Rhinolophus ferrumequinum: one gene and its partners. The protein of the gene in region 4 interacts with the protein of the main gene of each other region in a pairwise test. Links are inferred from orthologs where the notes say so. Each region holds a gene or a part of one and is shown on either strand. Other genes may lie near its edges. The genes, in order: EAF1, EIF1AD, NIF3L1 and BEND7.

Evidence for each region.
Region 1: the proteins of BEND7 (region 4) and EAF1 interact in binary tests that used the Homo sapiens proteins (3 or more experiments, as listed by UniProt). The two-hybrid records come from large-scale screens. The link is inferred for Rhinolophus ferrumequinum from reciprocal best matches to the Homo sapiens genes BEND7 and EAF1.
Region 2: the proteins of BEND7 (region 4) and EIF1AD interact in binary tests that used the Homo sapiens proteins (3 or more experiments, as listed by UniProt). The two-hybrid records come from large-scale screens. The link is inferred for Rhinolophus ferrumequinum from reciprocal best matches to the Homo sapiens genes BEND7 and EIF1AD.
Region 3: the proteins of BEND7 (region 4) and NIF3L1 interact in binary tests that used the Homo sapiens proteins (3 or more experiments, as listed by UniProt). The two-hybrid records come from large-scale screens. The link is inferred for Rhinolophus ferrumequinum from reciprocal best matches to the Homo sapiens genes BEND7 and NIF3L1.

Annotation. Positions count from the first base shown.
Region 1 is NC_046300.1:31,205,280-31,212,703, reverse strand, and holds the start of EAF1 (ELL-associated factor 1), read left to right. Parts: upstream 1-4,423; 5' UTR 4,424-4,438; coding exon 4,439-4,802; intron 4,803-6,720; coding exon 6,721-6,815; intron 6,816-7,424. Other genes in the region: tRNA N(3)-methylcytidine methyltransferase METTL6, read right to left, coding at 2,304-2,438, 3,154-3,378. UniProt on the Homo sapiens protein: Acts as a transcriptional transactivator of ELL and ELL2 elongation activities.
Region 2 is NC_046294.1:5,843,918-5,851,854, forward strand, and holds the start of EIF1AD (probable RNA-binding protein EIF1AD), read left to right. Parts: upstream 1-4,926; 5' UTR 4,927-5,068; intron 5,069-5,202; 5' UTR 5,203-5,327; intron 5,328-7,377; exon of another isoform or gene 7,378-7,485; 5' UTR 7,486-7,493; coding exon 7,494-7,580; intron 7,581-7,724; coding exon 7,725-7,833; intron 7,834-7,931; coding exon 7,932-7,937. Other genes in the region: BANF1 (barrier-to-autointegration factor), read right to left, coding at 3,183-3,329, 3,573-3,695.
Region 3 is NC_046291.1:30,355,907-30,362,912, forward strand, and holds the start of NIF3L1 (NIF3-like protein 1), read right to left. Parts: upstream 3,009-7,006; 5' UTR 2,943-3,008; intron 2,294-2,942; exon of another isoform or gene 2,147-2,293; intron 920-2,146; exon of another isoform or gene 794-919; intron 698-793; 5' UTR 673-697; coding exon 237-672; intron 1-236. Other genes in the region: PPIL3 (peptidyl-prolyl cis-trans isomerase-like 3), read left to right, coding at 3,872-3,880, 5,127-5,201, 6,283-6,376, 6,743-6,810. UniProt on the Homo sapiens protein: May function as a transcriptional corepressor through its interaction with COPS2, negatively regulating the expression of genes involved in neuronal differentiation.
Region 4 is NW_022680355.1:355,372-363,193, reverse strand, and holds the start of BEND7 (BEN domain-containing protein 7), read left to right. Parts: upstream 1-4,802; 5' UTR 4,803-4,939; coding exon 4,940-5,000; intron 5,001-7,242; coding exon 7,243-7,326; intron 7,327-7,822.

The DNA of each region.
Region 1 (7,424 bases), on a different chromosome or scaffold from region 4:
GGAGGACACTGGTGGATATCTCCCTAAAGCCGGGGGAGGGATGGGACAGAAAAGCACTATTCCTGGAGAGGCAGAGATACTTGTGAAGTCCACACCCCCGAGACACAGGCGGACTATGCAGTTCAAAACCCGATAATCAGAACATTAGAGAACAATCCCTTCTCCCATACTCTCCCACAAGTCTCCAGTGATAATAGTGGCCTGCAGCTGGAGAAGCTGCCAAGAGATAGACTCTTTATGGGGAAGAGCCCAAGGGGAAGATCCAAAGCTAAGGGGAGAGACAAAAACAGTCACCAGAGGAGACTGAAGTCTGTGGTACCCATAGCAGCAATAAACCTCACAGCTAACTATAGCAACAACAGACCTCAAACACAGCCCGACTATCTAGATTACAAATCCTTATTACCTCAGTATCAACTGCCCTATATAACATATCTAGCTCTCAACAACAACAAAAAAAAACCACGGCATACCAAAATACAATAAAAAAAGTCTGAAGGGAAAAAGCAATCATCACAACCAGACTCAAATATGACACAAACGATGGAATTTAAAAAGTTTGGGCATTTAAAATAACTGATTAATATGTTAAAGGCTCAAATAAAAAAGGTGGACTACATGCTAGATCAGATAGGTAATTTCAGCACAGAAAGAGAGACTACAAAAAGAATCAACTGGAAATGCTAAAAAATCAAAAACATAGTAACGGAAATGAAGAATGCTTTGACAGGCTCATTAATAGGAATGCCTATTGCCTATGAAGGAATCAATGAACTTGGTGACAGGGCAACAGAAATTATACAAACTGAAAATACAAAGAGAAAAGAAGTTTAAAAAAACAAAAAAGCAAAACAACATCCAAGAGTTGTGGTACAATAGCAAATGGTATAACATACATGTAATTGGAATCCTAGGGGAAGAGAGAATAGAGCTGAAGAAATATGTGAAAAAATAATGACAAAAATTTTTCCAAATTAATAAATATAAAAAGAATATGTGATTATATAACTCCTAAACAAGACATAAAACCTTAGCACCTCAAAAGGAACAGACTAATAAATTCAAATTTGATAATTTAAATCCTATCATAGAACAATATCATAAAACAATGTTGAATAAACTATACTTAATCCCAGTGCTTACAACACTCATTGGCACACATTAGGCTCCCAATAAATATATGTGGAATAAAGGAACTCACAAGCAGAAAAAAACCCAAACTAATGCTTATTTACATATTATAAAGACTTCAACTTCACTGGTTATAAGAAATAAACAAATTAAAATATGGAGACATTTTATTTTGCCCATAAGATTGGGAGAAATAAAGACTGACATCAAATGTTGAGGGCATAGAGAAAAAGTTATCTTTATGTTATTGGTGAAATTATAAATTGGTATAATATTCTGGAAGGAAACTGGGCATTATCTATTAAAATTTAAATATGTATACTCTTTCTCCGAGGAATTCTATTTCTTCCATTATTCACCATAGAGACACGTGTACACATGTTTTGTAGAGCACGTGCACAATGGTGATTACGTTAACCTTACTTATAAGAGCAGAAAGTTAGAAACAATTTAAATAAATATCAACAGGGTAATTGTTAAAATATGATATATCCATTCTACGGAATACTGCAGCAGGTAAATAAAATGTAGTAGACCTATATATACAAAGAGGAAACACTGCAAGACATAATGTAGAGTGAGAAAAGTTAAGTTACAGTACAATGTGACTGCACTATTAAAAAGTCTAACGGATGCCAAAAATGTGAAGGGCTGATGGAAAACTAGATATCTGCATGCTGCCAATAAAGGGTAAGTAGATCTTGATTAAATACAGCTATAAAAGATACCTGGGACTATTTGGGGAAATCTGAATTGAGTACTAATGGCATTAGGGGATTACAATTAGTTTTGTTAGATGTAAGTATTTTGTGGTCAGTTAGAGAAAACCCTTATTGAAGACGTATGCAGGCATATTTAGCAGTGAAGTGTCTGTAATTTACTTTAAAATGGTTCAGGAAAGAAAAAAGTCTATAAAACAAATGTGGAAAAATACTGGAAATCATTAAATCTGGGTATAAGTATATAGTGTCATTATGGTATTTCTACTTTTCTGAATAAAGCTGTTTCTATAATGTGTTATATATGTATGTAAACAGGAAAACTATAACATGTTTATGGTGATCACAGCTGCTTAGCTTCAGGGAGAGGTCTGGAATTGGACAAATGGGTATAGAGGGCAGGTCAAACAAGTCCAACAAAACAATCATAAAATACCAGGATGGTGCACCAACCTTGACATATTCAACTGCTCTTGGAGAAAAATCACAGGCATAAGCAAAGATATTCAGATCTTCTTCTAAAAGCGGGAATAGACAGTTCCCAACCCCACAGCCAGCTTCAAGCATAGTCAATTTCTGACCTTCAAACTGAGAAAAGAGAACTCAAAGTTAGAGGACACTATATTTGCATAATGAAGAAACAAATCAAATTAAAAGGTCCAGAACATGAAAGGTCTCTGCCTCCTGGAGCAGACAATAAACAAGTAAACTGATATCCAAAAGCTAATACAGATATCTCAATTTGTCATCCAACATGGGGCAATTTGGTGTGGAGAAAACAGGATAATGGCTAAGAGAACAGGCTCAGGGGTTAAACTGCTTGCATTCAATCCAGACTCCTTCCTTCACCCGTGTTCTATCATTGGACAAATCACTTAAATAACCTTTCCCTCAATTTTATCAATAAGGGGATAATACTAATGCCTACTTCACAGTTCTATTATAAGGCTTAAATTACAAAACACATGAAAAGTTCTAGAAAAGGGTCATGGTAAAGTGTTTATCATCATCATCATTAATGAATCTGAATCTGTCACTGAAGTCACTTTGTATAAATTTAATATTTACAACTTTCAGATTAGCTTTAAAGAAACAGAAATGCCCATTCAAGTTCTTTCTCCTACGTATTATACAACCCAGGAACTGCTAAAACTACTTGAGACCAAACAGAGTATTTCTAAGGTACAAAGCATTCTGACAGGCTTCATAAATTCTCTACCTCACACTTCCATAAAAATGCAAGAAAGCACTTCTCTTCTACATATTTTAAACGAAGAACAGCTCAAATAAGGTGTAACATTACCTCCCTACATGATCTGAGCTCCTGAAACTCTCGGGTGGTCCAGTGTCTATCTTTGAAGAAATTCGTACTATTTCTTTTGTAAAAAAGGTCCCAGTTCTTCTGAGCCTCTTTTTCCAGTTTTTGCTGTTTAAAGTCAGACACTAAAACTTGGTCTCTTTTCAGTTTCTCCTCTTCTTCAGAGCTGAGAATCCTTGCCTGAAGCCCTTCCCTTTGCAAAGATGCCATCTCTTGGGGAAATGGTAATGGAGTTAACACTGCTGAAGATGCTCCATCCCTGAATAATTTGAGGAATCCAAGCTGAATCTGCAGCTGCAGGCGGGGTTTTCTTAGATGTGGTTCCTCAGGCTGGGTTCAAGCCTCCGGGAGCATTTCTGCTTCGCAGGAAAAAGAATGAGATTTTGGTTAGTAATTTTAGAGCAGTTCTTTAAGATACTGAGTTAGTGGTTCTACAACATTCCTTTCACCCAAAAGTTCAATATACCAAACGTTTACTAGTGCTGACTCTACACAAAACCCTGCCCATTATAGGAGAGGTCACAAAGAAGAGCAAGACAAAGCGCCTACCTTCAGAGGACTTACGTTCATTGGCCCTGGACTCGCCTGCACCGAACACTAATTCAAACCAGACTAAGTCATCTATTATAATAAATCGGTTTAGTTTAGAAAAAGGATACTGCCAAGAACTCGTTGGGAAACCCTGGAGGGAAAATACTCATTAATTTTCGGTGCGCCTCTGAAAAGGGTGACTCTACAACCGCAACAGGTGCCTGAACTGGAGGAGGGTGGTTAACTGCCAGACAGAAGTGGGGGTCATGGTTTCCCAAGGATCGGAGACGCAGTTTTTTTCGGGGAAGATGGAACTACTACGTTCGGGTGGCCTGAATCTCTGATCGCACTCACAAGAAACTGCCTCAAACCAGCGGGGGAGTCGCTTTCCAGGCCTTCGCACCGCCATCACGGCGCGAAGGGAAGGAAGAGACTGCGTGACGCGCGGTGTAGGGTCATCTGTCTCGGGACACTCGGGATAAACCAGGCCGACCCGGCCGCCAGGGCCTGAGGAGAGCTGGCCAGGCCAGCTATCAGACGCGCGTTAATCTAGTCAGCGGCGCTCTGGGCGCACTGTCATCAGCTCCTAGACTCAACTGGAGGGGTACTTAGTGTCAGGCGCATTCAGCCCTCCGCCAGGCCCCTACCTCGGAAGCAGAATTTGGGAGCCGCCGCGCCAAACCCGCGTCTGAACTAACCAGCGCTGAGCAGCTCAGACTCCCGGCGGAATTCTATTGCTATGGCACCGCCCCCGCCACTTCCGCTACGAACCCAGAAGTCCCTCCCCGACGCCGGAAGTCCCGAGGCCTTGCTTCCTCAGGGGCTTCCCCCACCCCGACGCGGAGACTTGCTTCCGGCCCTGGGTGGGCGCCGGCGGCATTCCCGGTGCGCTCCGGAGCGGTGTCACGGGAGCACCGTACTCCCGGACGCCGGTGCCGGAAGCTCAGATCGCGGCCGTACTTGGGTAGCGCCGGGCCGGGCGCGAGGCCCGTGTGGGGCCATGAACGGGACCGTAAACCCGCTGCTGGACCGCGAGGAACACTGCCTGCGGCTGGGGGAGAGCTTCGAGAAGCGACCGCGAGCCTCCTTCCACACCATTCGCTGTAAGTCAGCGCTCTCCACGTGTCCCTTCGGCTTCCCCAGCCTCCCGGTGCCAACCTCGGATCCCTCCTCTCTTCCCTCGGCCCTCCACTGTACAGAGAAGCCCCTGCCTACGTCAGCTCCCTTCTCTCCTACCCCGGGTCCTCCAGGACCTCGATTTTCCCCTTTTGATCCTCCAGGACCTCGATGTCCCCCCTTTGGCCCCCAGCTTACTCTTCCCAAACCAGACCCTTCGTCACTGTCAACTATTCTTGTGTCTCAAGGTCCCAAACACTTGTTCCGAAGTCCATTGGCCCTTCTCTCTTTTCATGCCCCCACCCACCCTTCCTGCCAAACCCTCTTTGTTACCGAAAGAGTGTGACCCCACATCGGACTCCAGTGCTCCCTCGAATCCATCCCCCGCCCCTTCTGATGCCCCCACCCAGGTTCTCCACGTTTAAAGGACTCTTCCTGTTTGCTCGGGAGCCTCATCCTCTCCCTTCTATTCCATTCTCTTCTTCCCTGTTTTTCCTCAGCTTCCTTTCCTCGTCCGTCTTTACTCGGGGCACCCCGACAGGCTGCGCTTCATCCCCTCTTGCAGCCAAAGAATCCACATCCTCTCTGCGCCCCATCAGAGCGTTCCTCTTACAGCTTCCTGCACCTCGTTTGACTTTTGATGTCTTTTGAGGTCACTTCTACGACCCTGACTTTAACTCAGGCCCTGGTCCCTTGTGGATGAAGAATAAAATTAGCATTTGTGAGCCTGGAATAAGTTAAAGCTTGATCTATGTCTGGAGGCCGAAGAGAGTAGACACACAGACTATCGCAATCGCCATGAATGCTGGACCTTCCTTTTTCTACGGGATTATAGACTGTTGAGGAAGGAAGGGCACGTCTACTCTGTCCCGGGGGAAGATTGGCTTTTATGAGCTGACGGAGCATCCGTGATTCACAACTCCTGGTTTCCTGTCTCGGTAGTGCTAACGCTGGTTAAGACTTGTTTTTGTCAAAGGAGCTAATAGATGTGACTCAACACATTGCAAGAGGGCGTTAGATAATGATGTTCCATCTTTGTGTGGTGGCTCTGCCTTGCCATTACGATGATTCCTACTGGAAACATCAGCTCTCTTAGAGGGAAGATACTGGGAATGTGATAAGAGCTTCATTTCCTGAGCAGTTTACTAAGTTGATGTTTTAGCAAAGTGAAGGGCAATGTAGAATTTAAATGAGACACTTCACATATGCATCTGGCCTGCGTTTTGAGGCAGGTGTGTGTTACAATGGATGGAGTAAGATGGCCATTCATGTTGTACTTGAACTGCAATTCAGAAACATGGGCAGGACTAACCTGTGGAGACAGTTCAACCATCTACTCTGAACATCTGCAGGAGTATCTTTGTGTGGCACATCCTAATTTTGACAGTTCCTATGCAAAATGACATCAGCTTATATGATGCTGTGGCATTTCATGTAGAGTTTTACAATCACAGAATCTTATTAATATGCTGTTGCTTTTGAGCCTCACAACAACCCTAACAAAACACTTTATTGTGGATAATAAGCATTCATTTTCATCTGTCACTGGGGAGAAGGGAATATCTTTGTTTAATAAAGTGGTATGTAAATTCTAGATTTTTTTTCCCTTCAAAATAATCCAGTTGGGGGTTGGGAGGAAAAGTATATCAGGGTATAGATGAAACAAGATTGTCCCTGAGTTGGTAATTATTAAAGCTGGGTGATGATGGTACACCGAGTTTCGTTGTAATGTCTCTGCTTTTGTGAAGTTTTCCACAGTAAAATAGGTTTTTTTTAATATTCTAAATTATTTGTACTTTCTATTTATCTGAGTAATAAAAAAAAATATTTCTTAAATGAGCACACCCAGAAAGTCCTTAGTATAAGTAACCTGGTGGATAAATGCTATTTTTCCTTTCCCTTTAGATGATTTTAAGCCAGCATCTATAGATACTTCCTGTGAAGGAGAGCTTCAGGTTGGCAAAGGAGATGAAGTCACAATTACGCTGCCACATATCCCTGTGAGTTTATTCCATTGTTGTTGTCTTTTTAAATGTAGAATCACTGTGAATCCTCATATTTCATGTTATTACAATTTGAATTTCCTACTGTTTAAAACTTTCTAAAGTGCCAACAGAAGGAAAAAGGAGATTTGGGGTATAGCCTGGAGTGGAATTCATGCTTCCCAGGTGCTTGATTAAATATTATTCTTGTTGCCATTTTCCCCACACTCCCTTTCCCCCCATTTGCTACAAAGTAGACAAGGATCCTACCTGGGCACCTAGCCCCTCTTTTAGACATAGAGAAAAGCCCTAGGTGCCATGCTGATATATAGCAATGACAATTTAGGAGAGTGGGGCTGCCAAACCAAGAGTTAAGTTAAGGCGGGTAGGAGTAGGATTTACTTATTTCATATATCTGGCAGAGGGTGAAGTGTAGGCCGATCATTTCAGGCACGAACCAGAGGTTCAGAGCATTCAGCTAGTTGAACAATGCAGAACTTAGTTAAAAGCTGAACTGAGAACCTTTGCAGAGAGAGGCTTTTGTAAAGCCTTGCCCAAGGCAGCACTCTGATCACAAAGCCCGAAGGATTAGACAGAATTCTCTTAGCGAACATGTGTCATTCATTG
Region 2 (7,937 bases), on a different chromosome or scaffold from region 4:
ATCTGAGCACTCATGAGTAGAGTGGCTGAGGGGGGTCAAGCTCTGGCTGGGTGCAGCAGCGGGGGAGGGCTGGACAATGACTTTGGGTCAATATTTGCTGACTTTCAGGCCCACCCATACGCCTTGCCAAGCACGTCCTGTTGGGTAACATGGGCTGACATTTAGATAACCTGGTATCTACACATCCCCACCTGTCTGCTTTCTCCAATATCGTAGGCCTGGGGCCCTTTGTCCTACTGGCTGAGTTGGGGTTGGATCTCTGAGAGGCCACACTGTCTCAGGGTACATTCAGCATGCCCTTTGTCTTCTGCTGTTCCAGGACTGATCCAGGAAGCTGTGCGGGGTGCACGCAGGGGCCAAGATAAAGGGTTCAGGCCTTTCCAACCTGTCACCGGTACTGCCTGAGCACCGAGGGAGGTGAGAAAGCAGGCTCCAGCTTCCTCAAAGCGTGTGGGTGAGGCAGAGAAGAGCCCGTGACATGGAAGCAGAGCAGGCAGTGTGTCCCACAGGGTTCTGGCAGGCAGGCCTCGGTGCCAGAGCCATGGGCGGCAAAACTGGACAACTAGCGTGGGCAGGACCCTGGGAAGGGCGCTGTGGAGGAGGAACCAGTCTCCATTACCTCAGAGTGCCAGCAACAATCTGGCAGCGTCAGGGCTGGGGTGGGGGAGCCCCCCAAAGCACACCAGGCCTGTGTGACAGCATCACAGCACAAGAGTCAAAGCTGAGGGGACTCTGAAGTGACCCTGGACCCATCCAGGAAAACATCAGAAACATAGGTAGGCCTGAAACTCCTGGGACAGTCTGCATTACCATCTCGGTCTGGGCTGCAGACTGGCACCCTCCCAGGAGGTGGCCTGTAACACAAGCCGGGCCCTGCTCTGGCTACCTGGTGCCCTTCCAAGGGAGCCACTCAACTTCCCAGACCCAACCTTGCTCGGAACCCTCATCTGTACTAATAACCACCATAGTTTCCAGTTACTCGTATAATCGCTCTATACCCAGGTCTTTACTTTGGTTTCCCTTTTATCTTCCTTCTTCTATTGAGACGGAGCTAACGTCAAGTACACAGAACACTTCTGTTCCCTTTATCAGTTGACACCTGTACTACCACCACACAGGTCAAGAAATGGAAACTGCCACTCCCGCCCCCAGGCTGTCCTGCTCACCATACCCACGTCCCACTCCCAAAGGCAATCATTGTTGACATTTGCAATAACCCATTTCCTTGCTCTTTCTCGTTTTACCACCTATCTAGAGATCCCTAAGCAACAACTGACCTGACTTTACGTGTATATTTTGATGTTTGCTCAGTATTGAGTGTCACCTTTGTCCCACAGCTGTTGTGAATTCATTTCCCCGGGTACTGACAGCCATCAGAGCTCTTCCAGTTGGGGCTGTTAGAAAAAAAGCAGCTCTGAAGGCTCCCGTCGGTGCTGGAGCAGGTGTGCGAGTGTCCTCGGTCATAGCTCCAGGGCAGTGGAATAGCTGGCTCACAGGGTGGGTGTTCAGTTATAGAAAACACCCAACTGTTTTTCCCAAGTGTTTAGACCAATCGCCATTCCCACCAGCTGGGTATCAGTTCCTGTTGCTCCATTTCCTCATCACTTGGTATTGTCTGGCTTAAAATTTCTGCCAATCCAGTGAGTGTATAATAACACCTCATTTGCATTTCTGATTACTAATGTAATTGTTTTGTTTGCTTTTCTTCACTGCAGTTATGTTATATACTCTGGATATAGTACCTTGTCACGTATGTGTTACAAATATCCTTTCCCACTCTCAGTCAGTTTTGTCTGTCACTCTCTTTATGGTATCTTTAGATGGAGTTTCTACTAATGGAGTTAAATGTATCAACTTTTTCTTCTTAATTTTTCCCTACCCTGAAGTCAGGAAAATCTTCTCCTGTTACCCCAATGTTTGTATTTAATGTGTGTCGGTCTGTCCTCACCAGACTGGGAGCCCTCTGAGGAACGCCCTTTACGCAGCAGTTCCTCAGCGAGGCCCCACTCAAAAGACTGAAAGCCAAGCAGGGCTGGGTGCTGCACAGTTAGCATTTCATCTGATCCTTACAACCATCTCATTTTCCAAGTGGGGAAACTGAGGCTCAGAGAGGCTGAAGGATATGACCAAAGAACACAGGGCTCTCAGGTATATGGGCTTCTAAGTTATTTTGAGAGCCAATGGGGGCACTTCCTAGCAGAAAGTCCAGTCTCTCTGAGTCCCTGGTTTCCTCACCTGTAAAAGAGAAAACAATTCTTTACTGTGGAAGAAAAAAATATTGATAAAGATCTTAGCTGTGGGGCTGGTTCACTAAGCGTGCAATCAAAAATAGGATGAAAATGTACCAGATAAAAGTGTAACTCGCCCTCAGCTGTGATCCCATGCTCTCTCTGCCTCCCAGACCGCAAGAGCCCTGCCCACTCCTCCCAAAGGCCAGGAAAGCACATGATGATTAGCAGGTGAACTTTTACCCACATTCCGTCCCCCTCTTCCTGGTACCTCTGACTCCCACTTCCTTTTCCACCAGGTGCCGGCTAGCTCAGCTACTGACTCAGCTGACATCGGGAATGGCACAGCACACCTGGATCCCAGGAAGGGACCAACCCACACTCTCTCCCATGTTACTACGGGATTGAGGCACTCTTGAGGCACCTGCCTGAGGCTTATGTGGCTAGGGTGGCTGCCCTCCGGTGTACGGAGGAAGCTGCCAGTTTCGACTGGCACTGATAAGGAGTGTGACAGACCTGATCAGCCCCTGGGGAAGAGGCGACTCCCAGCCCATCTGTTTTTCAACGCACAAAACCCAGTCCTGAAGGCCACTAACTTTATTGATTTAAAAAACTTTGTAAGGACAACGACTATTCTGCCAAAAGAGAAGCCAAATGGCATAAAACAGACCGGCGAGGAGGGTGTGGGTGAGGGAAGGGGCCAGGAATCCACTCAGAAAAGCTGGTAATTATCAACATGAAATTGGCAGGGGAGAGAAGAGAGATGCATGCAAAACGAAGAACTTCTGAAAAAGTTGAAATGGTAAGGGGAGAGAACTCCCTGAAGACCCTGGATGACACTGCAGGCTGAGCAGACATCAATCCTTTGTACAGGGCAGGGGAGGAGCCCCCACTCGGCTGCAAACTCTGGAGACTCAAGGCTGGGGCTAGGGACTGGGGGCTCCCCAGAGTGCATCACAAGAAGGCATCGCACCACTCTCGGAGGCACCCGAAGCAGTCCCGGGACTGCTTGGCATTGGCGCCACACGTGTCCTTTAGCCATTCCCGGAAGAGGTCTTCATCTTTCTTAAGCACCAGAAACTGGCCAAGGACCACATACGCCTGCAAAACAGGCAAAATAAAAGGCATGCTATTCAGTGCCCTGTGGGACTAAGAACAAGGCCACTCCTGTGGCATTCAGAGCACATGAGCCTAGGAGGCAGGGCAGGCTCTGGCTACCTCTTCAGATTATATACCACGGTCCTCCCCCACCAGATACACTCACTTTCCTCGCTCCCAAACTGCCAGGCAATACTGTAGTCTGCCACCCCCAGCCCTCCCCAGCTGCATGCAGCCTCCGCACACCTTGTCAAAGCCCCTTTCCTCCAGCTTCTTGCCCAGGACTTCACCAATCCCGGCCAGGCTCCCCACTGGCTTTTCCCCCATGGGCTCTGCCACGAAGTCTCGATGCTTTTGGGATGTTGTCATCTTGATCAGGATTTATCTACGAATCCCAAGAAAAGGTAGGTTAGGACTGAAAACCCGGGAACTCCCAAAGGCCCACTGGCAATATCATATTTAAAGGAAGCTAGACCAGCGATTATGGTGGGTTATTCGATTCCCCTCATTTCACGGATGAGAAAACTGAGGTCCAAGGCAAGTTTTTCCCACTACTCAAGAGAGAAATCTCTCTCACTCCCTGCGGGAACGGGGTTTTGGTATTGCCCCAGAGGAAAGACTATCCTGCCCTATCAGGTGGCGCAGGCCGGTCAGTAGCCAGAACTCGCCCTGAAGGTGTCACTCCCTCTGTGACCTTGGCTGGGCAAAGGAGGTACTGACTCTGCCTGGAAGGGCTATCCAGCCAGAAAAGCAAACAAAGGGTCCCCCTGCCCCACCCGCCCCAATTGGCTGCTCAGAGAGCACAGGCACGGGCCAGAGCGCACACCCCAGCTCAGTGCCCCAGCCCCACCAGGTTCACGTCTGGGCTCCCGCCGCGCCTCGAAGGCCCCGCCCCCGAGACGCGTCGCCCCGCCTCCTCCACGCGCCGCCGCGCCCGCGCGCCGCGTCCCGCCCCTCCTCGCCGGGCCGCCAAGCCCTCTCCGAGGGCGCATTCTCTGGCTGGCCGTGGCGCTTACGGCTTCCCTCCTTCTCGCGCCTCCTCTGCCTCCAGTCCAAGCCCTGCTGTGCAGCGCGCGCTCACCGGCAGCTTCAGCTCCCGTAACGGATACTCCTACCGCCCGGCTGCTCCCGCCGATACCTCAACTCACTAGAACGTTCTTCTACTTCCGCTTCCGGGTCGCCTCAAGAGCCACTTAAAAAATGTGGCACTTCTAGCCACTCAGAGCCATAGAGATGAGGCTCCCTGGACCTCACGGCGGCCTTAGAAGGGGCTCCTTTCCGGTCGCTTCGCGGGAAACCGGGCTGCCTTCTATTGTCTCGCTTCTCCAGAAGTACTTCCGGTCTCAAGGAGCAGAGGCTTCGGTGGAGAAAACTTTATTTCCCCGCTGCACGGCATCCGGAACTCAAGGACTTAGCCTTTGGCGATCTGGGGGTGGGAAGAGTTAAAGGAACGGACAAGGAGGGAGGAGCGTGGCCGAAGGCTTCCGAGAGGCCGCCGGAAGTACCGTACTCGGAAGGGTCCGACTCAGGCCGATTCGTGTCGCCCTCACCGCTGTGGGACTTGTACGAGTCCGGCAGGAGCTGGAGACTCCGGAGATCTGTGTCCAAGTTGACGCTACCGTCGTGATCGCCGGCAAGTTCCTTTTCTACGAAGTGAGTCGTGGACGAGCCGCTCCCAGCGAGCGTCCAGCCTGAAGAACGGAATCGTTCAAGCAACGCCTTTGGGAGAAGAGGGCCAGAAAGTAAGTGTGGGGTCTGTGCGCGTCTTACCTCCGGGATAGGGAGGGAGGAGGGCAGGAAAAGGCAACCTGAGGTGACACGCGGAGTTTCCTTTAGAAACCACCAGTCTTGGTGGTGCCAATTCTTGTTTTCTCAGAACCCGTCAGAAACATAGCAGATGCCGCAGACCACGCCGGCTTTCCTCGACCTTTAATGAACTCGTTCCTGGCTTGGACCATCTCGGTGGTCTCCAAACTGGTCTCTTGTCTGTAGTCTGTTGAAGTGAGTATCTGTGTTGTATGGCTGTGCTGTATTTGGGATGTACAAGCATATTGAGGAAGATAGTTTATCTCACACTCCTCCGTGAACGGTTGCCAGAGTGATTTATTTAGTTTTTATGTTATGCCAGTACTTAAGACAACATGACTTATTTTTATCTGCCGTACACTGTGCTAAGTGCGTTGCTCACATCATTGCATCGTAATGACAATGTTCTGGGTTAGCTGTTATTTTTCTTTGTGGCTTGGGAAAGTTAAACAGTAAGGAATGTCAATGTAAGAACGTCCAAACCCATAGTTACCGGAGGGTGTCCAGGTTCTTGGCATCTGGAACAAAGAATTGAACGAGATACCGTGATCAAGTGGTGGAAAAGCAATTTATTAGAAGAGATAGTACTCTCCAAGGAAATAGAAGCGGGCCGAGCAGAAAGCAGTGGCTCAAGGACCATTAAGAAAAGGGATAGTACACTCCAAAGAGTGTGGAGCGGGCTGAGCAAAAGAAGAGACTCAAAAAAGGACCCCGGCTCAAAGGCCCAAAGGGCTAAGGGCCCAGGATCAAAAAGGGCCTGACTGGGAGGACTTGGAGTTTTTATCCTTTTTTCCCTCTAGAATGGGCAGTTCCTTTGCGGGAGTGGGACCACTTGATTGACACCTGTGATTGACAAGAGGCTATTACCTCATCTTTTTAGACTGTGCATGTTCTTTCCCAGAATTCAGTCTGTTATAATGATATTAATGAACTCCCAGGCGTATGTATGATATTATAATGATGGGATAATGAGGCCCAGGTGAAATTGTGGTCTTTGCTGCTCAGGAGTGAGGGGCTGGTTTAATCTAGTTGGGTATTTTGTACCCATTTGTTCCTCATAGGCGCAGATAATTACAATGAAAAGGGGAAGTTTTGGGCGGAGAGGGGAGGTCTTCTGGGCAGTCGCATTCTGTTCAGGGATGCAGAGACCTGATGCCTAGCTCTAACTGCGTGCCTTGTTTTCCCCTTGAGAGACATGATCCCCATAAAAACTCTATGGGAAGTTGAGGGACAGAAGGTCTTTTTTTCTGTATCTGCTTCCTGCTGGACGGGGGCGAAGATCTGTCCCTACCTATTGGGGGATTCACGGAACTCTCGCCCTGTCTGATCTCAGGTGAGAGGAAGGGGTCTCGGGACCTGCCTGGAAGACCATGTTGGCTTCTTTGGTTGCGACTGGCAATCTTGCTGGGGTATCCTCTGTATCCCCAAAGCCCCTGAATGAGGAAAAATAGATTTTAATTAATAAATCCATTAGCACTATGGAGCCTGTGGCCATTCAACCATTTAGGTGGCATCAGTTGTCCAGGAGCTGGGCCCAGAATGGGTTGAAAAGAACCTTAGGCTTCACTGATTACAATTAACAAGTATACTGGCCTGGGGGGTCTGGAATGGCTTGGAGGATGTTGGGAAGTCATAGGCTTTTAAGAGACATTCTCTGATTCAGGCGAGGAGCACTCTTTAGTCTAGGATTCAAAAACTGATCAGAAGAGTAATCAAAACCCGGGGCTAAGGAGCTAAGAAACTAGGGAAAAGGAGACTTAAAATTTCTGTAGTGAGGGGCTCTCCCATATCACCATGGAGAATTTTTATAAGAGTTTGAGCCAAACCGATGACCTATGCTAGCAAGCAAGATCTAAAATGCTCTGGAGAATAATAGTTTTGCAGTTTGTTTTATGCCTTAGAAAGTAAGGAGGAGGGGTCTAAGGAAGATGACTTGAGGATGGGAGAAAGCAGGGCAGGGATTGGGTTGCAGAGTAGTTAATAAGATTATGTGCTATCTTTGAGGGTGGTCGTGCTTTAGAGGGGTATTACTTGGCTGGCTTAAAAACCTTTGACTAAAGAAGTTATATGCCTGGGGTGTGACCACCCATCATGACCTGCTCATTTCTGAATTTATGATCAGGTTACTCTGTTTCCATGGAACCCCTTTTTTTCGTCCACAGGAAATAGTCAAGGTAGGATTTCAGTTCAAGCAATTAGATGTTAGAGCCCACGTTCTTAACCAGGACACTGTGTCACTCCCCAGTAAAAAGTCCCTCCCCATCTTCAAAACAGTCCTGGGTTCTGAACCTGCCATCCAAGAAACTCAGGAGCAGGAGTTGACAGCCTCTGCGTCCCTCACCTCCCGGAACAGGACCCAACATGTCTCGGGCCACCAAGAGGAAGCACGTGGTGAAGGAGGTGCAGGGGGAGCACATGGTACCCTCCGAGAAGCAGCAGATCGTGAGGGTGAGTAGCATTGGGCACAAGCTACTCCGTCCCCCACCCCTCCACTCCCGTTGGGCCCTGGGGTGGGGGAAGAGTGCAGGGTGGCGCAGGGGGTCTTTGAGCTAGCTGATGAGGCCGACTGGTTCTTGGTCTCTCCTGGACCAGGTACTCAGAACCCCAGGGAACAATCTGCACGAGGTGGAGACAGCCCAGGGGCAGTGCTTCCTGGTGAGCATGCCCTCCAAATACCGCAAGAACATCTGGATCAAGAGAGGTGAGAGAGCCGTCTAAGACACAGAACCACTTCCAGTGACCTTGGCTTCCCCCAGTGCAAGCTGAACTGACTCGACCTTTTCTCCTCTCTACCTACAGGGGACT
Region 3 (7,006 bases), on a different chromosome or scaffold from region 4:
ACAAAGCTCAGTCCAGCAACGAAGATTCCCTATGCTTTCCTTACTCATTAATCATAAAAATTTTATTTTTCAAATGCAATTTAATTGCCAGATTTTAGCAACATTATTTTTAAATATATTATGTAAAAATAGAATGGTCCCACCCCTAAAGCAGTTAAAACTCTATTAGAAAGACATTCTAAAATTTCAAAGCATGTATAAGGAAAATATTAAACATAAAAGAAGAGGCTTCTGACCAAGCCCTTTAGCCAACCAGCTGTTGACTCCCTGGGGTGCAGCGTCATAGGCTGTGTGAGGTGAGTAAATAGCGACTCTGTTCTCCAGAGCCCGAATCACCAGGCGCTCCTTCCAGGTTTTCCAGGTTATGCGCTTCATAGGTTGGAAAATAGGTGGATGGTAGGAGAGAATGAGATCAGCCTTCTTTTGCAGAGCTTCCTCCATCACTTCCTCGGTCAAGTCATTGGTCAGAAAGAGTGTGTTTACAGTATGTGGCGGGCTTGGTTCCACCAGTAATCCAACATTGTCCCAACTCTCAGCAAACGACAGGGATGCAAAATCATTCAAGGAGGAAAGGAGAGCCTTCAAATCCATGAAGGAACAGGAAGAATTGCAGATCAGGGAATGAACTAGCCGAACTGTCGTGCGGACCAGGTGTACACGAGATGACAACATACAGAAATCAGGTAAAACTGAGTATCTGAAGTCAGAACAGAAAATGATACACATGTACACTTTAGGCCCAGACTTTTGAGGCAATAAAGCATATGAGCAAAAGAGCTACAGTCATACATACCTAGGTTCAAATACTGGCTCTGCACTTACATGTTGTGGGGACAGAGCCCCAAAAAGCAGTTTCCAGGCTCTCAGCCTCACATAGAAAGGTGCTGGCTCAGGTAGTAAATGGCCATCGACTGTGATCAAATGGCCAGCAGCTGTGGCTAGTTGGCCGTCAGCTGTAACCAGTGAGCCATTGGCCACGAATATAACTGCCGTGGCTAGGCTAGCAGAAAAAGGGGGGAGCTAGCAAGAAGATGGTGGCTGAGCCTGCAAGCGGCGCAGTGAGGGTTGAGAATTGTGTGGCTCCTGGTTCCTGTTTCTCCAACCCAGCCGCCAGCGAGAGTATAGAGATATGACTCCCCTACTTATGGCTCCGTGGGTGTTCCTTTTTGGCCTAGCCATATCCTGCGTTTTTGTGTGGGTAGTGGGACCAGAGACCCCGCCGGATGCTCCGCACGACACTTGGCGTAGGCGGCAGGATCCCCTGCGCTACACATATTATCTTGGGTAAGTCATGTAACCTCTCTGAACTTGTTTCCTCATCTACAAAATGGAAATACTACAACCTTCACAGGCCATCTGGAGGAGCACATGTATTAATATGTGTAAGTCAACTAGCACAAGACTGGTACATAATACACAAATGTTCATCCCCTCCTCTCCGGCCCCCACCACACCCCTGTTCTTGTTCTCCCCACCCTAGCTTCCACCACTCTCCTCCCTTCTCCATTTCTCTAAATATTACCCTATCTTCCAAGTTCCTTTCAACTTCCTAAATAAAGCTTTTTTTGACAAACCTTTCTTTTCAGTGTCTCCCTACTCCCTGCCCCACCCCGCTCTGCCCTGGTATTCTCATAATATTATATTCCTGTTTGTCTCCCCAGTATGCTAATACTACAGGAGCATAGGAACTATCTTTCATACGTCTCAGTATCACCAACATAGGCCAGCACTAGATGCTTACTGTACAGATGTACACAATCCCCCTCCCCCATCACAGCAGAACTTGGGAGTTAGGGTGGTATATATTGGCATTGAAAAGTACTCAAAGGGCAGGAGCTGCTGCCCCTGAACCAACACCTGCTACAGGAAGGCCAGGCTCAAGAGGTGAAGGTGGAGGGCACTTTGCCCAGAGTCTGTAAGCCTTCTAAGACAACCATATCCAATACAAAAGATAACATTGTCAACTCCATTCTTAAATTAATAACCGTAAACACTTTTGTTTTTTAAGAAAAGCATTTCATTGTATGCCCAATAATTAACAAGAAAGCATAGCCAATTGTAAATTTAATATTCACAACCCAATGATTTCAAAAGCAGATTTGGGGCAACATTTCTACAGCAAAAATATTTGAGATGTGAGTAGTACTTCAATATAGGATTTGAAGTGATGGGGCGCCTCCATTAACCACTCAAGCCTGGGGTACTGGAAGATCTTCTCAGGTCCTTATAATACCACTTCCACTCTGCACATTCCACATCCTGATAGTTCTCCATTCTCCAGACTCTTCTAAATCTGGCAAGTGCAAAAGTGAAGCTCTAGTGGGCCAGCCCCCGTTGAGTTATCTACTGTTACTTATGAAAGAGCACTTGGAAATAACAGACACCCACCTCCCCTCTCCCGTCGCCATTTCACAGATTAGGAAACTGCAACTCTGCGTAGCTTGATGCCACAATTAATAATGGGAGGCGGCAGAGCATGGTGGGTAAGAGCACGACTCTGAAATCAGACTGACAGACTCCCAAAGCTACCGCTGTGTAACGTTACTTAACCTCTGTGGTTTCCACCGCTAAAGAATGGAAATAAATGCCCAGCTCATAGGGTTGCCTCAAGATTTAACCGTAAAGCTGGAAACAATACTTGACCCGTGTTTAGTAACATTAGTAAGTCCCACTATACAGCCTGCAAACTACACCTTAAGTTACCTCATCTACCCTTCACTTCCGTCCCACTTCAGGCCTCTCCCAGGACAAGAAAGAGCCCTTGGCACAGCCAGTAACTCGTTGAATCTGGACTCCTGCCCCACTAGTGCCCTACGCTCTCATACTGCAAGCCAGTTTTCTGCCTCTATCACCTCTTGGACCCCTGTCGTTGCACTTTGCACACAACAGCCTCATGCCACAAGAACCTAAGTCCGCCGGGATTTAAGTCGCTGAAAACTCACCAGTCCTGGAACACTCTTCGTGCGTCACTTCCGGTCCCGTGCGGGACTTCCGGCCTGTGGGAATAAGTGAGGCAAGGGAATCAGGAGGAAGTGGTCCTTCCCATTTTTACCTCTGAGTCCAAGGATTGCTGCCCATAATAGTTCCGGGCTACGTGTCTCGTCCTAATATAACTATTAAAAGAGCTCCTTTTCACTGTCAAAAGTGTTTCAGGTAGGGGTAAGTTACATTGTCTCCCTAGTTTTAGACATTTGGGTTTGAGACAGGGAGGAGAGGGGAGGAAGGAGGCAAGCTCATTAGGGGCGTTCTCTCGAATGTGTCCCACGCTCGACTTCCGGTGGCTGAAAGATACTAATTTTCAATTTAGAGACCTGGCGGAGGTATCTGCGATTGCATCTTTCCTGTTTTAGCTACAGTTGTGTTAATCGAAGTGGTTAAGTAAGTATGGGGTAACGCGCTCATTCTTTCATTAACTTATTTAAATGCTTGCAGAGCAGTGTGTTTTAGTTCTTAGGCTGCTTAGAGTGAGCATTCTGGGCGGGAAACGGCAGACTTAATAAATTAATGAAGTATATGGTATATTAGTTATAAGTGCTATGGAGAAAAGAAAATAGGACAGGTACTAGGGTTAAGGCATTTTTAAATAGAGTTATCAAGTCAATGAGACCTGCCTTTTGAGCACAGACTTGGAGGCTGAAGAAAATAGCCGTATAGATGCCTGAGTGTAAGCGTTCCAGGCGAAGGGAGCAGCCAATTTCTAGGCCCCAAGTCGGCTTGTTGAAGGACTTGCAAGGAGGCTCTTGAAGAACAGTGAGTAGGGGAAGTAGGAGGTTGAGGGGCTTGAGTCGGAATTCCTCATCACTTCCATAATCGGATTTTTATTTCTTGGGAGGTGCTCTTCGAGACTTTTAAGTATGCAGTAAACGTGAGCATGAGTGAGGTAAGAGAGACAAATCAACTTAATTCTTTTTTCTTTTGGTAATAGAGATTTGTTTTCGAACTTCTCTCAATAAGACTGTGAGAAATTAAGTAACAGTAAGAAAAATGGTAAGTTTTATAGAATTCTTATGAATATCTTTCATTGTAAGTAATTTTTAGAAATTTAGTCAAGGGAAATAAAACGGCATGGAAATTTCAATAAGAAGACAAAGAAAAGTGGTAAGCTGTAGAATCATACACTGAAAATATTCTAAACAAAACCAGAAGTAAGCAAAATTACTTTTAAATTGTTTTTGTTTTCACTTAAAACACACAATTTATATTTTGTGGAAAAAAGATTGACTACAAGATATAGAGATGAAAAAGGTGAGTAGGAGGAGCAGAAGGATATAGCTAGGTGTGATCATTATAATTGGAAGCTTTTCTCTGTATCTAAGGTGAGCGAGCAGCTAGAGCTATAAGTAGGTGAAAAACAATGAAAATAATGTCCTGCCCCACTCCCACCCCACCCGGTGCTCTCAACAGGCACACACACTCCTCTCTATTTTCAACCTGGGCATACTTTCTGAATGCTAGATACTATTAACAAGAATAGAAATGAAAAAGGAAGCCCCAAAATACATTTCCTTCTTTCTGGAATGGGGTAACAAAAGGAATATTCAAGCTACCAAAATAACAGGTAAAACAAACAAAAAGCAAGCATGCAGAGTACTATGGTTACCTTTGCACATTTACAATCTAGAAACACTGACACTTTTTACGTCTTGTCTTTAGTTGAGAAAGAAATTGTTTTTTAGCTCTGCATCTCATAAGTAAATTACATAAGGGAAATGGTGGAAACTATATTTTGAAATTCATTTTCTTACTATTGTTCAGTAAATGTCCGTGATGTTAGTGAATGCCATTTAAATCAATAATACTAATATTACAATTGTTTTTATTGATGAAAAATTGAAACTTAAAATAATTATTTCCATCACAATATTTGCTCCCCAGTTTTTAGCATAGGTGCTATTTTACCCTAAACTTTATATTTATCTTCTGGAGTTTTTTTCCTACTGCAGAAGTAAATTTTGAAGAAATATAACTTATCTCCCAGAGCTTCTATGTGGACAGGTCATCTCTGAAACAGTATTTCTATCTGTTTTTATTTAGGCTGTCATCTTTAATATCTAGTTAGAGAAATCATACAGTGCATAAAGTCACCTGAAGAAATCTGTTTTTCTCACATTCTCTCTCCTTTTTAGTCGGTGACACTGCATACAGATGTAGGTGATATTAAAATAGAAGTCTTCTGTGAGAGGACACCCAAAACATGTGAAGTGAGTATCATTATGTACCAAAAAAAAAAAAAAAAGAGTTAATGCAGCAGATAACTATTTTGAAATTGAACGATTCAAAAATAACCAACAATAAATAGCCAAAAACCTTTTCTATAAAACCATTGTCAGGTAAAGCCAGCCATCATAATTTCTGGCCTAATTTCAACTTAAACTTTCTTGATGTCAAAAGTGGATCAAAGAAAGTGTAGATAATTTTTCTCTAACCATAGAGTGGCTGGTATCTTTTTCTTTTGGCTCATTTTCCTCAGGAAACATAAATAATCATGAAATATCAGGTAAGAAAACTGTTCCTTACATTATCTCACTTGTTTAAATGACAAGGATAGAACGAAGAAGAGTCAGCTTTATATATTTATTTATTCAACAATTATTTATAAAAGGCTATCTTGACAGTGTCTTGGAATAAAGTGATGAACAAGAAACATTCCTTGCCCTTGTGAAGATACTATTCTAGGTGGGAAAATAGGCCAGAGTAAGGGTGGGGTGGGGTGGGAGGGCTCATTCTCAAAAAAAAAAAGTAATTCTAGAGGGTGATAATGCCTTGAAGGAAATAAAATGTTAAGATAGAGGATAATGGGGAAAGGAATTATTTAAAAGAAGGTGAGGGCAGGCCTACCCAAGAAAGTGATACTTAAACTGAGTGTGAAAGGTAATGAAGGCATCTCCATGGAAAGATATATAAAAAGAACATTCCAGATATAGAGATAGCAGATACAAATGCCTCAAAGTGGGAAAGCCTACCTCTTTTGGATGAATTTTCAGGAGACTGATGGGGTTAACATAGTAAGCAACAGGGATGGGGTTATTATCATATAAGATGTAGAGTTGGACCAGCTCATGCAGAGCTTATTAGGCCCTGCTGAGGATTTTGTATTTTATTTCAAGAACTGAAGGAAGCCATTAAAGTGTTTTAGTCAGGGAAGCAACATTATCCAAAGTAATGCCTAAAAAACATAGTTTAAATATGCTGTTATAGTGTTTTCAGTAAATACAATTAGTTTTATATCTTAAATTTGTTTCTGCTACATGATTTCTCAATCATTGTTTTTACTCTCTTCAGAATTTCTTGGCTCTCTGTGCCAGTAATTACTACAATGGCTGTATATTTCATAGGAATATCAAGGGTTTCATGGTTCAAACAGGAGATCCTACAGGTAAGTTACTCCATTAATAGCTAGGGAATTGGGTCTATAGTGAGAAGAAGAGGGTAGACAAAGAGTAGGAAAATAAAAGCATGTGGAGTTTTTATAACTGGGCTACCTTACAATAGCAAGCAATTTTTAAGCTGAAGCTACTAGCACCTAGCCCTAAAATATGAATAGTACTAATAAGGAGCATTTTTATTTTTTCTACAGATACTTTATTTTTCTGGTTTGTAAAGTGAAATTTTGGGAAGTAAGAGAGGACATACTAAATTTTATTTGTATTCAAAGAGTTACACTGTAAACCAGCCCTTAAGTTTTAGAAAATAAACCCTTTCTCAACTTTAATTAGATACTTCTGTTTGTCTTGTAATATAGGTACCGGAAGAGGAGGTAATAGTATCTGGGGCAAGAAATTTGAGGATGAATACAGTGAATATCTTAAGGTATGTCCCCAGTGCTTCAAAATCTGTTTTCTCATGCCTTGTTTACACTTGGAAATTTCGATACATATGTTCTAGTAACACAAGGTAACATTATTAGTAAGCAAATATTAATACTTTTTTTGTGAAGTTTTTGCACACTTAATAAATGATATCAAGGAGAAAATATAAATGGTAGTTCTAACCTAAAATATATACT
Region 4 (7,822 bases):
GGTGAATTGGGGCACGTACATCAAAATCACAATCATCTACAATACACCCCTGATGATGCATCAGGTGTTGTTGATGATATGGAATAGCGAGAACTCTCATACACTGCTGGTGGGGGTCTAAACTGGTACAACTACTTAGAAAAATTACTCCACAGTATCTCCTAAAGCTAAACGTATATGTATGCTATAATTCAAATATTCTACTCATGAATTTATACACAAGAGTAAGTGGGCTTATGTCCATTAAAAGGCATGAACTAAAACAAACAAGAATATCCACTGACAGTAGAATGAATTAAAATGTGTGGTATATTTCTATAATGAAATAATATACAGCAATGAAAAAGAATGAACTACTATTGTAGTCAACAACGTGAGTGAATCTTACAGACGTAATGTTGAGCAAAAGAAGCCTGACAGAAAACAGTACGTACTGTATGATTCCATTTATACAGAAGTTCAAGAACAGGCAAAACCAAACTATAGTTAGAATTGTGGCTTTTGGGGGGAGTTATATGCTGTCAGCAAACAGGGGAGCCTGCTGGTATGCTAGAAATGTTCTCTATCTTAATCTGGGGGAAGGGAGCATTACATGGATATATATACACAAGTGAAAGAAACTGATTGAGCTGTACACTTAAGGTTTATGCTCTTTACTGTATGTGAGTTAGAATTAATAAGAAAAAACATTAAAATTTACGTTAAAGAAGGACAGAAAGGTGTTAAGGTTAATGCATCCCATTTAAGATAGTGAGGAACCCACCATGCCATTCGAGTTTCACTAAAAAAATGGTCTTATGAAAACTGACTTTCCTCATTTGCAAAACTGGAATATTAGTATCTACCAACCTCATATAAATTAAGAGAATTAGATAATGTATAAATATCCTTGTGCTCCTATAAGAGAAGCCTCATATAAATATAAGGTAATATTATTTGTAGAGTATTCCAGGATCTCATTTTCACTTAAATAATCTCTTATAAATACTACTTCTCTTTCTTTTAAATTACAATTGTTGAAACCCATAAAATAAATGAAAGTGGAAACTTGAGTTAGGATAGCAACAAAGTGACATATTGGGACTAAAGTAGAGCTGCCTATTCTTTCCATCAGCCTTCTGATGGGCAACTGTTATAAAACTGAAAAGTTACTATGTATACGTATTAAATCTTCCTGAAGTCGCCCCAAATCTACTTAGTCACAGGATTTTCAATTCCAGAGACTCCAATCAAAGATTTACAAACAGCACCAAGCCCAATAATACCATATGGTTTATCTCCTGCTTTTTGAGGGTTATTGATAAAACAATTAAACAATAATCTGATTGTAGTCATATCTATGCATATGGCTCAAATCAGAGTCCTTCTCAATCTGAGCTGTCCAATATGGTAGCCACTGGCCACATGTAGCTATTGAACACTTGAAATTTGGCTGATCTGGATTGATTTGTCCTCTAAGTGTAAAAACCACATCATTTTCAAAACTTCATACAAAAAATGTGAACCATCTCATTGATATTTTATATTGATTACATGTCAAAATGATAATATTTTAAATATACTGGGTTAAGTAAGATATGTTATTAAAATGAATTTAACTTGTTTATTTTTACTCTTTTTTAATATGGCTATTAGAAAACTTTAAAACTCTATATATGGCTAGAATTACATTTCTATTGGACAGCAGATCTCTAAATAAAGGTGGAAATTTTTACAATGCTATTCTTTTTAAGACAAGAGTTTTAAGAATTGGGGTTAAGATCACCTAATGTTTTCTGGCCAAATTTTTCTCCAAGATTAAAACCTTCATTTAATCTTTATAAACAACTGAGTTTAGAAATGGCCATATGATAAGATGTTATGCTTACATGAAGTCACAGAATATTTTATATATATATTGACATGAATATTTAATAACATGTAAAGCTGAAGTTCTAAAACTTTTGAGGGCTTTGAACTATAAAGGGAGATTACCTTACTCCATCTCCTACAGGACTTCCCAGGACAACCCAACACAAAAACAGTATTCAATTAACCAAAAATAATACTGATATGGACTGAATTGTGTCCCTCGAAAATTCATGTTGAAGCCCTAACTCCCAACGTGATGGTATTTAGAGGTGGGGCCTTTGGGAGGTAACTAGGTTTAGAAGAGGTCATGAGGATGGGACACTGATGATGGGATTAGTGCATTGTAAGAAGAGAAAGAGATCAGAACTCTTTTTCTGCCCTTCAGAACTATGAGAAAATAAATTTCTATTGTTTAAGCTACCCAGTCTATTGTCTTTGGTTATGGCAGCTCAAGCAACAAATACAGATACCTACCCCTTAAAGCAATCTCTTTTCATTAAATAATTAATCTTTATTTAATGTTAATTGTGAATATATACATTTTTGTTATACAACGGCATGATGATTTGCATCACATGGAGAATAAATATTTGTTGATTTTCTCTATGTGTTAACAGGACAGACCTGACCTACGGCCTCTGGTGCTGAACTGGCTCATAGACCATCTTTGGAGAGCCAGGAAAAAGAGTCAAGGAAAATGATTATTACTTAAAAACATGATTACTTTGAAATATTTTCTTAACTATATCAAAAATGGTTTCTTTAGTAAATAGAATTCATATTCCCACTTGAACTGAATATGCTAAGTTGTTAATATCTCCCCTAGGAATTTGCTTCTTGGTATGGCAACTTCAATCATTTCATCATAGTTTAAACATAATAAAATCTCATTTTATGCTCCAAGGCATGAATGATTGATCTTAAATGTTCAGTTGGCATAGTACTCAGCCTTGTGGTTTTTGGACTAACATTAAAAAAAAAAAAATTACAAAAAAAGAAAAAGGAAAGGGTCCTAGCCTGGGGAACAAAATCATACGCTTTGTTTCTTTAGAAACACTCAAAACATCTTTGGGTTTTTAACTGCTTGGTTTTAAGGCAAGAGAGAGGGAAAAAATAGAAGAGAACAAAAGAAAGTAGTTGAATTAATCCCTGTTATCACTTTCATCCCTTATACCACCTTTTAGAGCTCCAAGGAGGTCTAAAAAATCTAGACAAAATTTTGTTTGTCCTAAACATATTTTCTGGGAAAAGGGCCTTGATGTTTGAACATAATTTTAAAGGAGATAGTGACCAAAAAGGCTAAGAACCTCTTGTTTAAGGGTTTGCTTGAGTGAACTGAATGAACAATTCTCCTGATACCTGCCAGGCATAACCCGCCTCCCCACTTGCTCCCCCTTAAGCCTCACTGCCTAAGACCTCAGGATGTGTACCAGGCCCTGCTTCTACTACGTGGTTGTCTACCTTGTTCCTTGGTTTTGTTTCCCAGTGTGCGTATGTTTATGCTAGTTGCCTCCAACATCCCCCTTCCTGAAAATTGTCCTACTCTGTTATGTCCCTGCTCAGTAAGAGTGAACCCTGAGTGGCTGTCACCTCATTTGAGTGAGGCCCACCATAGAACTTACTACATTTATCAAGATACCCTTTCCCCTTATTCCTCTCTACTCTTTTGGGGCCACCTGAATCTGCCAGTGCTGAATGGGTTGTCCATCTTTTTACTCTCTGTATTTGAGTCTAGAAATGATCAGTTTGGAGAGGTCCTTTAAAGCATGTCAGATCCTGTACTGCCATTCCCAGGTGGTGTAAAATTCTTTTCCATCCCCAACCTAAAGATGTTGTGAGAAGGAAATGGGGTGCTCTTAGCTCCCCAGACAAGAATATTATATAAAAGTAATAAAAGTATTCTGTTTATGTCAATTATTTTGGCACTACTACATCAAGTGGCAGAGTCCCCCTGTCCCTGCCTCTTCTTCCCTAAGAGGCAGCGGAGGGATCAAACACCCACTGACATCGCACCCCTCATCCTTTCACCCCCTCGGAGTCCCACATTCCAAGTTCTCTCCTTAAATATCACTCCGGATCTTCCTACATCCCTCCTTGTATTGGGGTAACAAATTGAAGCTCACTTTCAATACACTTCTCACCAGTAAATTCTAAAATCTCTTCGTTTCCTTGCAGAGCGCAGATGGGTAAGTTTTGGGTATTTGTGTTTCCTAAAACTTGCCTAAAACCAGTGAGTCTGGCCCTTGGACATCCTGGATCTCAAGTCAAGGAGGGGCTGGCCAGGAGGGTCCCCGATACCCAGGACGATTTATGACAAGATCCGCCCCAGGAAGCGGCGGCCAGAGGCCGGTGGGGAGCGGCGCCCCGACTCCTCGACCCCCGCGGCGCCGGCCTAAGGAGCCTGGGGGAAGGCCGGCCGGGCTCGGCCGAGGGCGCTGCGGCCTCCGGCTCCTCTTCGAGGCGCGCGCGGCCAGGCCGGTGGGTGGCGGCTGCCGGGGCCCCCAGGGATGGCGGCGGCCGCGCTCCGCCAGCAGGTGGCCCTGGGGTCCCGGCGGCGCCGCCTCCTCCCGGTGCCCCTCCTCCCGCGGGGGTGGCCAGCGCCCCGACCCGGCCCGCCCGCCGCCCGCCCGCCGCGTCCCCGGGGCCGCGCTCGCCACCGCCGCCGCGTCCGGAGCTGCGCCCAGGCCGGCCCGCGGCGACATCCCGGGGCGCCCGCGGCCCCGGCCCGCCCTCCCCGCCCCCAACTCGCTCCCCAACGGAAAGTTCGGCTCCGGCCGCGTTTTCCCAGAAGCCGGGAAGGAGCCGGGGTCGGGGGGCGTGTGGAGGGGACCCGGAGGCGGCGGCCGGGAGGGGGCAACTTCTCCCGGGAAAGCACCTCCTGCCGAGCCCCGCGCGCCGCAGCCCCCGAGCGGGTTCGAGGTGGTTCTTCCCTTCCCTCGGCCTCCCCCCTGCGGATTCCAGAGACGGACCTTGGTCCCGGCGCTCCCGCGGCCGGTTGACAAGAGCGAACGCCGCCGCCACCGCCGCCGCCTCGGCTGCCGCTCCCTCCGCCCGGCCGCAGCCCTGCCTCCCGCCTCCTGCCCGCACCATGGAGTTCTCCGAGAGGAAGAGGAGCAGGAAATCCCAGAGCTTCAAACTGGTGAGCCGAGGTAAGCGGTGCCGGGCCGGGCGGCGGGGAAGGACGTGGCGCCGCGTAAACAGCCCCGCGCGCGGCCCGCGTCCTGGCGGCTCGTCCCGCTCCGGGGCTCCGGGACCCCCGAGTCCCCTGCCGAGGCGGGCCATGGCCGCACACGCCGGGCGGCGAGCAAAGTTGTGCCGGGGGAAGGCAGGAGGTTGTTGTTCCGCGTAAACAAGTCGCAGGGCACTAAGGAAATTAGCAAACAATGACACTTGGGGAGCAGAGAGCCCTCTTTGGTATTCCACTCCTGTGGCCAGGTTGGGGGCTGGGGGGAGAACTGCCTTTCCACCAGGCCGTGTGGACACATCATCCCGACCAATGGTTGTGGTCTTGGGTTTTTCGTTTTTATTTTTGTTTTGTGTTTTTTTTTCCCTCCCCAAAGAGAAACAAAAAAGGTGGTGATGGTTCTTTTAAGAATGAGAAAGAAGCTCATGAGGCGTACAAGCCCACGTAAGAATTGTTGACATCCAGCATCTTTTCTAGATACGTTATTTGGAAAGGTGTTTCAGAATAGATCACTTAGCAGTCAAAGTATTATTTAAAAAATAAAGATCCAGCCAGTTCCAGACGATTTAACAGGTGTACACCAAGTTGGATAGTGTCATCAGTTGAACAGTCTGTGTTCAGTTACTTGTTAGTCTTTATTTTCCTGATGTGACTATTTTTAAAAAAACGGTCAGAAGTTAAGAGCAGACGTAAAGATATGTTTATCAAAATGCATTGTGTCACCTTAAATGACAGGCAGGTGACTTTTTTTCGTGGTAATGTCACAAGTCCTAATATTGAGTTTAGAACCATCCTGTTGAAATACCTTCTTTAAAACAACTTGAGGTCAAAACCAAACCACAGAACCTGTCCACTTTTTGCTTTGTCTAGCTATGGAATCAGAGTAGCGAACAAGGCAATTGTTTTAACAACCTGGAGAAGTCACATGTAGTAAGCAGATGAAAATTAGAGAGCAGTTCCAAGTAATAGAGTATTTCAAGCTAAGCTAAACTACAACTACCGGTATGATGTAGATTCAATAAAGCCTGCTTTAGCTTAGTCTGAAAATGGTTTTATTATAGACATTTTAAAGATCAACTCATATCTGTTTCCCCTGATTTAGTTTGACACTGTTTCAATGAAAGAGACCTGAAATAGTTTTACGTATTCAAAATATTTGCCCCTTTCCTTTACCTATGTTCATTTTCCCAAGCACTGTTGATTACTCAGTCATTTGTACTTTAAATATCTCTTCCTCCATTTGTGACTGGCTTATGGGTCTATCTGATTCATTCAGGAATGTGAGCTGCTCTTTTATGTATGACCTCAGGGAACTTACTACTTTATCTTAAAAGTGAGAGTAGTTCTGTAGACTTTGTCCTGAGAGGTCCAAGTCCAAAAAAAAAAATGTAATAGTTGTTAAGAAGGAACCTCTATTTTCTTACCTAGGCAATCCTACATTTTAGAAATAGATTGCCAAAGCACAGTAGCCTCTATAGAGAAGCTTATAAAATACTGTATTTTTAAAGTTTGACCAACATAGCAAGTTTTTCTGTTGTTTTTTTCCCCCACGAAATTATGGGTCTGATTCTTCTCTCTGCACTGCAGGTGCATTTTTAGAAAATAAACTACTGCATATTAAAGTGCAGTAGCTGAATGCAGAAGAGTCACTTGTGTAAAAGATGAGAATCTTGCTTTCTTATCCAAATTATACTATATTTGAAACGACAAATCAGTATTTTTCCAGTGTGATTGCCTGTAAGCTACTTAAAGGTGGGGACTTTTCTGGGTAAACTGAGAGTGCCACGTAACTCTAAAGCATACTGTTATATGCTCATGAAAATGGGTTGTGGAGATAAATTTGGAATCCTCCCCTGGCCTATGATTGGGCAAGGTTTCTTTTCCTTATAAACATCTTTGTGATTTGAAAGAAAAGAAGCCTAATAATTGGCATCTGTGGGCCAAATTTACTGTGAAAACCGGGTGATCAAACAAAGCTAAAGTCAAAGTGATATTTCAAGTTTGTGTACTTCTTTAGTCAGAGTAAGCAAAGTTTTAGGGATTCTCAGTGACTACAAATTCTATGACTGACCGAGTCCTGGAAAAGAATATTCACAAGTTAAAGTGTCGGTTATCCATAATATATATAATGAGATTCTAGTCTTTATTGCTTATTCATATCTTGCAGGCCATTAGAATTCTAATTTTTGGTTGTTTTCTCGTCCCAGATTATCACCATGAGGTATATAAGATTTCAGAATTCAGCAACGATGTCAATGGGGAGGCCAAAGAGACACAACCCATTTTTTTAGGTAGGTTCCTATGTCAATTAAATTCTCAGCAAAACAGCGTGGCCATTTGCAATTGGGGGGGGTGGATGGGGCAGGAGGGAAGGGGTTGTTCCAGAACGGGAAATGTCAGCCATTCCTTAATGTATGACATTCTTTTCAATACCTTTTATTTCACAGATTGCCAATATATCCCGTATTAACATTGCTAAAAGTTGTAATTTCAGACATAAATGTTTATTAGTGTCTACACACAGTGCTAATTATCACTCACTCCCAGAGCCAGATGCTGACGGTGCATTTTTGTCGCTCTGCGTTCACCCCATTTACTTTGCATATTTGCTGGCATGCTTCACTGGCAATAGTTTGTGTAATTGGGGTATTACATCTTTGACATCTGGATAACAGAAATTCAATTTCCAGGAAGCTGCTATTTGTTTGGTTTTGCTTCTGCCTTGGGTGGGATAGAGGATTAATACGCTGTCTTATTATAATGTCCCTTCACCTTTGTGGCCTGGTG